Linked DNA regions of Oryzias latipes. The protein of the gene in region 1 purifies or fractionates together with the protein of each later gene. This does not show direct contact. Links are inferred from orthologs where the notes say so. Each region holds a gene or a part of one and is shown on either strand. Other genes may lie near its edges.

Region 1 (3,826 bases):
AAAGATGTGTATTGTTTAGAAAAGGATTTAGAGAAAATATAGTAACCCCCAAAGGTGCAAGATAAAAAAAAAATTGGAGCAATATTTAGAGAGATGTTTACAGTAATAGTTGCAGTGAAAATATATTTAAAAAAAGAAGAAATTGGCTTCGGCAACGGCCCTTTTTCTCTTTCAAGCTGTTGAGGGTTTCTCTAACAAAACTATTTGTTTGGTTAGGTTTTGCATATTTCAGTTATGGTATAAAACAACAACAGACAAATCAAATAAACACTCGCTAATAACAATAGTCTTTAAATAATTTACAATTCAGAAAAACAAGGACGAAAAAAGTATTCATATGACAGAAATAAAAAAAAAAGTTTAATAAAATCAATATCTTTATGAGGACTATATCTATATCACCAATATGTCATAAGTATTTGTTACAATCATGATGGGGCTCAGACATCAACATTTACCTTTACATGGTTAAAAAAACACTCTGTTCATACCTAAATGTGATGGCAAAGGAGTCTGGCTCTCCTTCTCTCTGTCGGATGAGGAAAGCTCCGTCTCTGGGAATCCTCAGAAGGTAATCCTCTGCCTGGCCTCTGCTCAGGTTACTGTAGAACCATCTGCACAGAAAAACATCAACACAGCCCATGAATCATTCTGGCTATGAACAAGCAATTGACTCCCGATTATTCTACTAACTAAAATGGGATTTTATTCATGTTCCAGTAAAACAATAATTAAAGCCGTGAGCGGCGTTGTATGGCCTGCAGGCGCGACCCGCCTTCATGGCTGACCCTACTGGCAAAATGGCAGCTTTTCTGTTGGTTTTATCTCCATGGCAACCGTTGTTTTGGGTCACCTGGGGGTGACGAACAGATCAAATTTTTAGAAGAATTGACAAAAGTACATTTTTGAATTGCCTTGGCAAAGTGAGTTTTTTTTTTTTTTTACCACGCCCACATTCCTAATATGTTCATATGTGACGCTATACATTTTTGTCCAACTTGAGCCAAGGATTCATGCATCCAATTTTTACAAAATTCCGGAAGAAAATGTGCAAGCAGTAAGCAAACGCCACTTTAGTGGGCTTGCTACTATTAAAACTAACAAACTTTAAATGCAACATTTTTTTCCCCAAGTAGCTCCCTAATGATGCTCGAGGAGTTAGGAGATGAAAGATGGAAATCCAAAGGCGGAGTTTACATTTGTAGAAGGTCCTAAAGATGTTTATTATTATTCTTAATTCAAGATGGCTGCTTCTTCCTGAGGTCAAAGGTCAATGAAACTTCAGTTGCGGTCGTAGACTTAAATTGGTGGCATGTGTGTGTGAAATTTTGTGAAGATTGCTCAAACTAAAGTTTTCTTCCCCCACATTGTGCAAAAATGTTAAAATTGCCAAATTCCACACATTCCCACAAAATGGCCGTAGGTCCTGTGACCATCCCATAATAATTTTAAAACATGTTTTTGGGGGTTTTCTTTAGTGGATTTTACTTTTATACTCCAATAGGAGATTTCGGTCGCCTTAATGTTTTTTATGGTTTTGCCTGCTGTGATGTCATCTTTATTTTCTTCTTCTTTTTTTTCAGGACTGATGCTGATGCTGCAGGACGAACCCTTCCTGGAGGTGAGAGTCCGGCTTGGGCACGGCGTCGGTTAGGCGCAGCTCGAAGTCCTGGCAGCGCAGCGGCATGTCTTTGTAGTGCTGGATCAGAGAGTACACGGTGGGGAAGTGCAGGTTTGGAGTCAGGAAGAAGTACGTGTGACCCCCCTCTGAACCAGAGCGGATCCTGCAGTGCTGGACTCTCCCACCCCGCCTGCAGAACAGACAAGTAAAAGTCTTTCTCTGCCTCTTTAAGGTTGCTAAAGGAATGCTACTTCTTTGACTTTGCATTTAGAGGTGACATAAAGAAGCGGACATGTACCAAAATGACAGCGTATAGTCAGTGACGTAGGTGTCACTTTGTCGGACCAGGAAGGTACCGTCTCGTCTCCCGGTCTCTGTGCAATACTCATGGATCCGCCGCTCAGCCATCTGCCTGCCCTCCTTCATCTGACCATGAAACCACGGCTCCGAACAGTGCATGTCTTGGTACTGAGGGACGGAACAAACCACAAAATATCTTCAAGATTTGTTCAGACAGACGTCAAATAATTTTCTCAATTTGGTACTTTTTTTGTTCCAAATATCTGCGTTTATTTTCAGTCCAGTGGGAAAAACATGTTCAGATACTTCATGTTTGTTTCCGTACATTCAAATATTCAGTTGAGCGACTTTTACCTTCTTGGGATCTTCCTCTTCCTGCTCGTACTCTTCAGCGTAGTACAGTTTGTCATCAGAGATCACACAGTAGTGCTTGTTCCACCGCTGGAAAAAAAATGGGAACCCCCTGTCATTTTTACACATCAGATCATGGTTATGGGTTAATTTCGAAGAACTCCTTTTTTGAAGACGATTGGTTGTAGCTGTAGCTACGTGCATCAAATTGGAGGGCAGCTATTTGGTCGGTCAGGGGTTGAAGTTTGATGTTAAACAATCATTTGCTGCGTTTTCGTTACACATATCCGCAAAAATTTATTGAAATTTTAGAAATGTTAAAAAAACCACAATTTCGCAATCACACTGTAACCATTAAATTATAATTATTCAAATAAACACAAACCAAGTCACATGATACTAGCGCTAGTACTAGCACTAGCGCTAATCATCATCTATCAAAGGAGACGTCGGTGTCTTCTTCAGGCTATGGAGTGGCGAGCTCCTTACACGTGGGAGGGGCTACGGATAAAGCCATTTTGGGAAATGGTGGTTGGGGATTTTACAGAGGAGCTGTGGATCCAACAATTCCACATGACACGCTCAACTTTGGATGAGCTGTGTGACGCTGTGGGACCTGTGGTGGCGCCCACTGTGCAGTGTGGTATCTGGTTGTAAGTCACGTGACTCATTTAGTTCCAAAAAAGTGTTTCCATTGCAGTTTTGCAAAATATGTCAATTTAAGTATGCCTAAAAATTCTTTTTAAAAAAAAATCCTCCTCCACGTGGAAATTTTCTTTTATCGATGAATTGCGAGCTTTTTTGAAATTTTCATCTTTCCAATGGGCGATTACAATGTTTTTTAATAAATTATATAAACATACACCGGGTGACAAAGAGAAGACCAAAATAATGTTCACAATTTGATTAAGAAACACAAAGAAATGGAAAAATTACATAAAATAAATGCTTCATAAGTGCAACAAAGAAAAGAAGCAGCCTTTTTTGATTGTTTATGACACATGTCCATCCACTTGTACTAATGGACCATTCACATGCCCTATTTGACCCCTGACTAAGGAAGTAAAGCACAAACAAATTAGAGTAATTAAAGTGTCCTTGTAAAGTCATAAAGCATTAAGGAAGCCTCTTCCAGGAATTAGCCTCATCCTGACAGTAAAAAACCTTTCACTTCCTTGGACTGCCTCTTTCTTATCATGAAATAACCATAAATACTTTTATCACATCACTTGGAGGCCATTACCACACATACACAAAAATACAAGCTTGCATTTGATAGTGTATAAGCTCATTTAACTTAATTCACTACGGTTTTTCTTTGCAGCACAAAACCACAAAGACCAGAACCACAAAGCTTTTCTTCCTGCAGCCTAAAAGAGCAGAAAAGCTGGAGGAAAAGGTTTGATCAAGTGTTCTCGTATACGCCGAAACGCTTTTTTCACGTATAAAATTCAGACAAGTTAAATAATATCTTTTATTGCATGTTTCTTTGGGTAATTTTTTTACAAATGTAATGATGATGCAACAAGATGTTGTCCGTCAGTGGTTTGTGAT
Region 2 (4,295 bases), on another chromosome or scaffold:
CATCTGTTGTAACATAGATTTTATTGGTATTTGGGATTTTTATTTTATTTTTAAGTTACAAAGTTCAGAAAATTCAACCACAGGATTAATTCCTCCCCATCAAAGCAAATTTGTATTATTTTATTTGGGAAGTACAAAGAAGTGACACTTTTTTTCACATTAACATTAAAAACTTTTATATTCAGATTAAAGAAAAATGGAAATCACTAAAAAACTATTAAAGCCAAGCAGTTTTATGTCAAAACATATGAGAACAGAAGAATAATGGCGTTCCATCACCTGAAATTCATGCCAGGCATTAAACTATGTTGGTATTTTTTAATAATTTGGATAAATACCTTTATCTAAAGTAAATAAACTTGAGTTAATCTTTTAAATTCAAACAAACAAGCAGTGATCTATAAATTACCAAATTACATCATACGTTTATACTAATCAAATATTCACTAATGGAAAGATATGTTAAAAGAAATTCCCAAAAAATCCCTTTACTTTTAGTTTAGTTTCCATCAAACTCTATAAGCATGATCACAAGTGACACTTTAACAGCCTTACACACATGTAAACAATGTATTTGATCTATAAACAATCTATAAAATAGCATTATGTAAAGGATAATCCCTGTCTGTCTGTCTCTGTGTGTGTGAGTGTATATTTGTGTGTATATACACACAAAGTTAGTCTTAAATTAGGGAATCAGAAGTGTCAGGAAATAAAGAACAACAAAAATGTAAAACAATCAATTATAGTAGCGTTAAAACTAGCAACACAGGACTTTTTTGTGTGTTTAACGTATTCAAAAGCTCAGGTTTACATCTGCAAGGCATCTGAATTTGAAATATAAATCTTGAAACTGTCTAAATATAGATTGAAAGGGTGATTTTATATTGTTATCTAACTTTTGGACATGTCTTTGTGTATCGATTAGTATAAAAGTGCGTCCAAAAATGGCTTTTTTTTCTGGATAGCGTAGAGGACCAGCGAATTGCTGTAAGTTCCTGGTGTTACGCTGGCTTTCATGCCACACGACCATGTGGTCTGAAAGTACCTGTTCATGTCCTGCGGGTGCATTGTGTGCTTGTGTCTGTCATAACTGCCCATTTTTAACTTTCTGTTTCTGTGTCATGTTTTATGTGGAAGGCTGAACTAAGCTTTGTTGAAGGGTTTGCTGTTGAAAAAAGTCTCCCAAATACCTGTAGGGTTTAAACAGTAGAAGACAGGAAGTTATTTTTCCATTCAGTGGTTAGAGCTGCCATATTTTCTGATATGTGCTGACACAATAAAAAAGACCTTTTTTGAGAGTTTTACATTGTTTTCTAAATCAGATTATTTGAGTCGCGTGGATCATTTATAACATTGTTCTTAATTTTGATTATTAATTCAGCCTCTAAAGATAAGAGGAGCTGCTGTTCTCCAACACAACCCCCCCAATTCAACCATAATGATGAGTATGTTAAGAAGGAAGACATCAGGTGTCATTTCAGGTGTGGTAAATGTTTTTGTTTAATACTCTATGATAATAAATCATAAAAAATAATACATTTTTATATATTAGATACATTTCTGAGGATTTCTTTATTCAAAATGTGGTGAATCAGGACCAGACGAAAAAAACGCAGTTTGAAAAATAGCCTATTTGGGTAGTGATCTACCCTGCGCCGAAGGGAAGGGGGGGCGGGGTTGCCTCACGCCAACAGTCCTGTCCACGACTCAGAGTTTCTAAAGAACTCCTGCTGCTCTGCAAAAACTATGTCCTAGAAAACGGCACAGATTTTGTTAGGATTTTGGCTAAAAACGGCATATTATGTTACGATCCGGGGCAAATTGTCCCGTTTTTGGGAAAAAAGAAACATTCAAAATATTTTTTTCACTTTGAATCTTTTCATGCTTCACTTGTTTAGTGTAATCAGCATACAAAATCAAAATAGTTCAATTACTCTGTGTGATTGAAATTGAACAAAGATCAACACTGTTCCTCAGAAATTAACAGACCTGCTTCCATCTTTTTAAGGTTATATTTCTTATTTTATATAATATCAAAGTCATATTGCAAATAAAGTAAAATTCTGAATTTGAGGCTTCTGATCCACTTTAGATTTTATGTCAAACCAAGTGAAATTTGGTTTGATTTTTTTTCTTGTCTTTTTAGATGGTCTGGATGTAGGTCTATAACCCCCCCACCCAGAGTCCCACTGAATGACACACTTCCCCTATCAGTAAACGAGGGAGAGATACTAGGAAGTAGAAAAAGCAGTGGACGTCAAGTGCCAATAAATGACAAATCTGAGAGAAAAGCCACTTAAAACTGTTCAAAGGTCAATCTTTTCCAGAGCAAACTGAAACTCATTTAACCAGTCACATATATGTGTCCTACCTCAGAAATGATGTAAAATGAGCATTTTGTTTAAAAAATGAACACATCTTACCTGCGAGTATCTGTATGGCTGTTTGATTAGCTTTCCCTGTATGTGGAAACCCTGTAGTCCTCAGAAACCTTCTTTGTGCTCCTCATCAGAGTAACCGCAGGCACGTTGGCTTGTCGAGTGGGTCAACAGCCTCATATGCTGCTGCTGTACCAGAATGAGGAACTTACGAGCAGCTGGCCGGGGCTTTTTTCTTTCTTTCTTTTTTTTTTTAACCAATACTTCCTGGTACAATTGTCTAATGATTATTTGCATAATCAGCAGCCACACTATTGCAGAACAGATTTTCTATTTTTTATGGGTTTGACCAAATTATTTTTTACAAAATATGTTTAGAACTGTTTATATTTTATAAAAGTCATTCCAAATAAAAAGGTAAATGCTTAAATAGAAATTCTTTAAAAGTTTACTTGAATAATTTGTTTTAATGAAAGTATGCAACAGTGACATCTTGTGGCGAAACCGTAAAAGTGCAATTATGGATTTATGTCTATGACGACTCTCATTCATCCAGGTAGATTCCATCATAGTAGCGGGTTTAAAGGTTGTCATCTAGACTTGGTTTTTAAGGTTGAAGATGTTTCACCTCTTATCCAAAAGGCTTTGTCAATTCTGATTATATGTACTCATGGGGGAGGAGTCAGAGAGAAAGGATGGTTTGAGCGAGGAGTGAAAGAAGCCATCTTTGTCAAGACAGATAAACCTTCTCTTAATAAGAATGGTGGTCTCAGGTTTATTCTTCCATCCATCTACAGCAGTGTTCTGAAACCCAAACCAGTTCCAACTGAGTCGTTAACAGCTGAGAGAGATGACCAGGCTGGGGAGGGTAGCCACTGTCTCCCCAACTCCAGCTGAGGACAAAGGACTCCTAACGACCCAAAACCTAGTATTCTAAGTAGACCATACTATCCAGTTTCAGGTCTGACTCCTCCCACCATGAGCACATATAACCCTTGTGCTATCCTAGGCCATTTAACATTGGGAGTTGGGTCATCTAGACCCACTAGACAGTGCACTGAACCTTTTTTCTTCAATGATTTGTGATCTTCACTGGTGTCCATGGATTACATGAAATCTTTCCACCTTTATCCACCTTTGTCATGGTAGGGAGAACACATCAATGTAAGGGTGGGGTCATCTAAGATAGCACAAGGGTTAAACCAGCTCTTTTACCAGCTATTTCAGAATTGACAAAGCTTTTTGGATGAAACATCTTCAACTATAAAAAACGAGTCCAGATGACAACCCTTTAAACCTACTACTATAATAATGGATTAAAAAAATGTTTTATGTGATTTTTATTTCTTTGTGCTGACACCAAATGTAGAAAATGTGTTTACAGTGAGCTGGACAAAGACTTTCAAACAGGATCGTGCTCCTTTGCATGCTTAAAGTGGGATCTGCCGGGTTTCCACAGCCCCACACACGTTTACAGTTTAACAGTACAAAAAGAAAAGCAATATTTCATCCCTCATTACATTATGATGACTCACAGTTCAGACAGGAATATTGGAGCAGAATCACAAAATGATTGCTGTGTCCGAATTCCTTCACTTTAGTTCACTATATAGTGCGTGGTCCAAATCTACAAAATCCAAACTCCAGTGTCCTAGAAATTTCACGAAAAACCGGTATGTGCTCATTAGATTGGCAAATATAGACCACAATGCATTGCATTTGAATGATTTTTCATGTTATTTCCTAAAAAACCATCCATGTTTTCATCATCAGAACAGTGGATTCATATTTTGTTCGCATTTATCAGGGTTTTACTTCGGGAAATTGCTGATGTCATATTTGCCGTTTAAAAACAAAAAAGTAGTGAGCATGGTGTCCAAATAGCTTCTAAAATCCAGAGCACTACATGGTCCC

What was found.
Region 2: the proteins of plcg2 (region 1) and tyrosine-protein kinase Lyn purify together in Homo sapiens (affinity purification with western blotting; 3 studies listed by BioGRID, with this or other methods). This does not show direct contact. The link is inferred for Oryzias latipes from reciprocal best matches to the Homo sapiens genes PLCG2 and LYN.

The regions. Positions count from the first base shown.
Region 1 is NC_019864.2:27,975,620-27,979,445, forward strand, and holds part of plcg2 (1-phosphatidylinositol 4,5-bisphosphate phosphodiesterase gamma-2), read right to left. Parts: intron 2,363-3,826; coding exon 2,276-2,362; intron 2,090-2,275; coding exon 1,920-2,089; intron 1,812-1,919; coding exon 1,611-1,811; intron 615-1,610; coding exon 492-614; intron 1-491. UniProt on the Homo sapiens protein: The production of the second messenger molecules diacylglycerol (DAG) and inositol 1,4,5-trisphosphate (IP3) is mediated by activated phosphatidylinositol-specific phospholipase C enzymes. It is a crucial enzyme in transmembrane signaling.
Region 2 is NC_019875.2:19,364,161-19,368,455, forward strand, and holds the start of tyrosine-protein kinase Lyn, read right to left. Parts: upstream 3,071-4,295; 5' UTR 2,427-3,070; intron 1-2,426. UniProt on the Homo sapiens protein: Non-receptor tyrosine-protein kinase that transmits signals from cell surface receptors and plays an important role in the regulation of innate and adaptive immune responses, hematopoiesis, responses to growth factors and cytokines, integrin signaling, but also responses to DNA damage and genotoxic agents.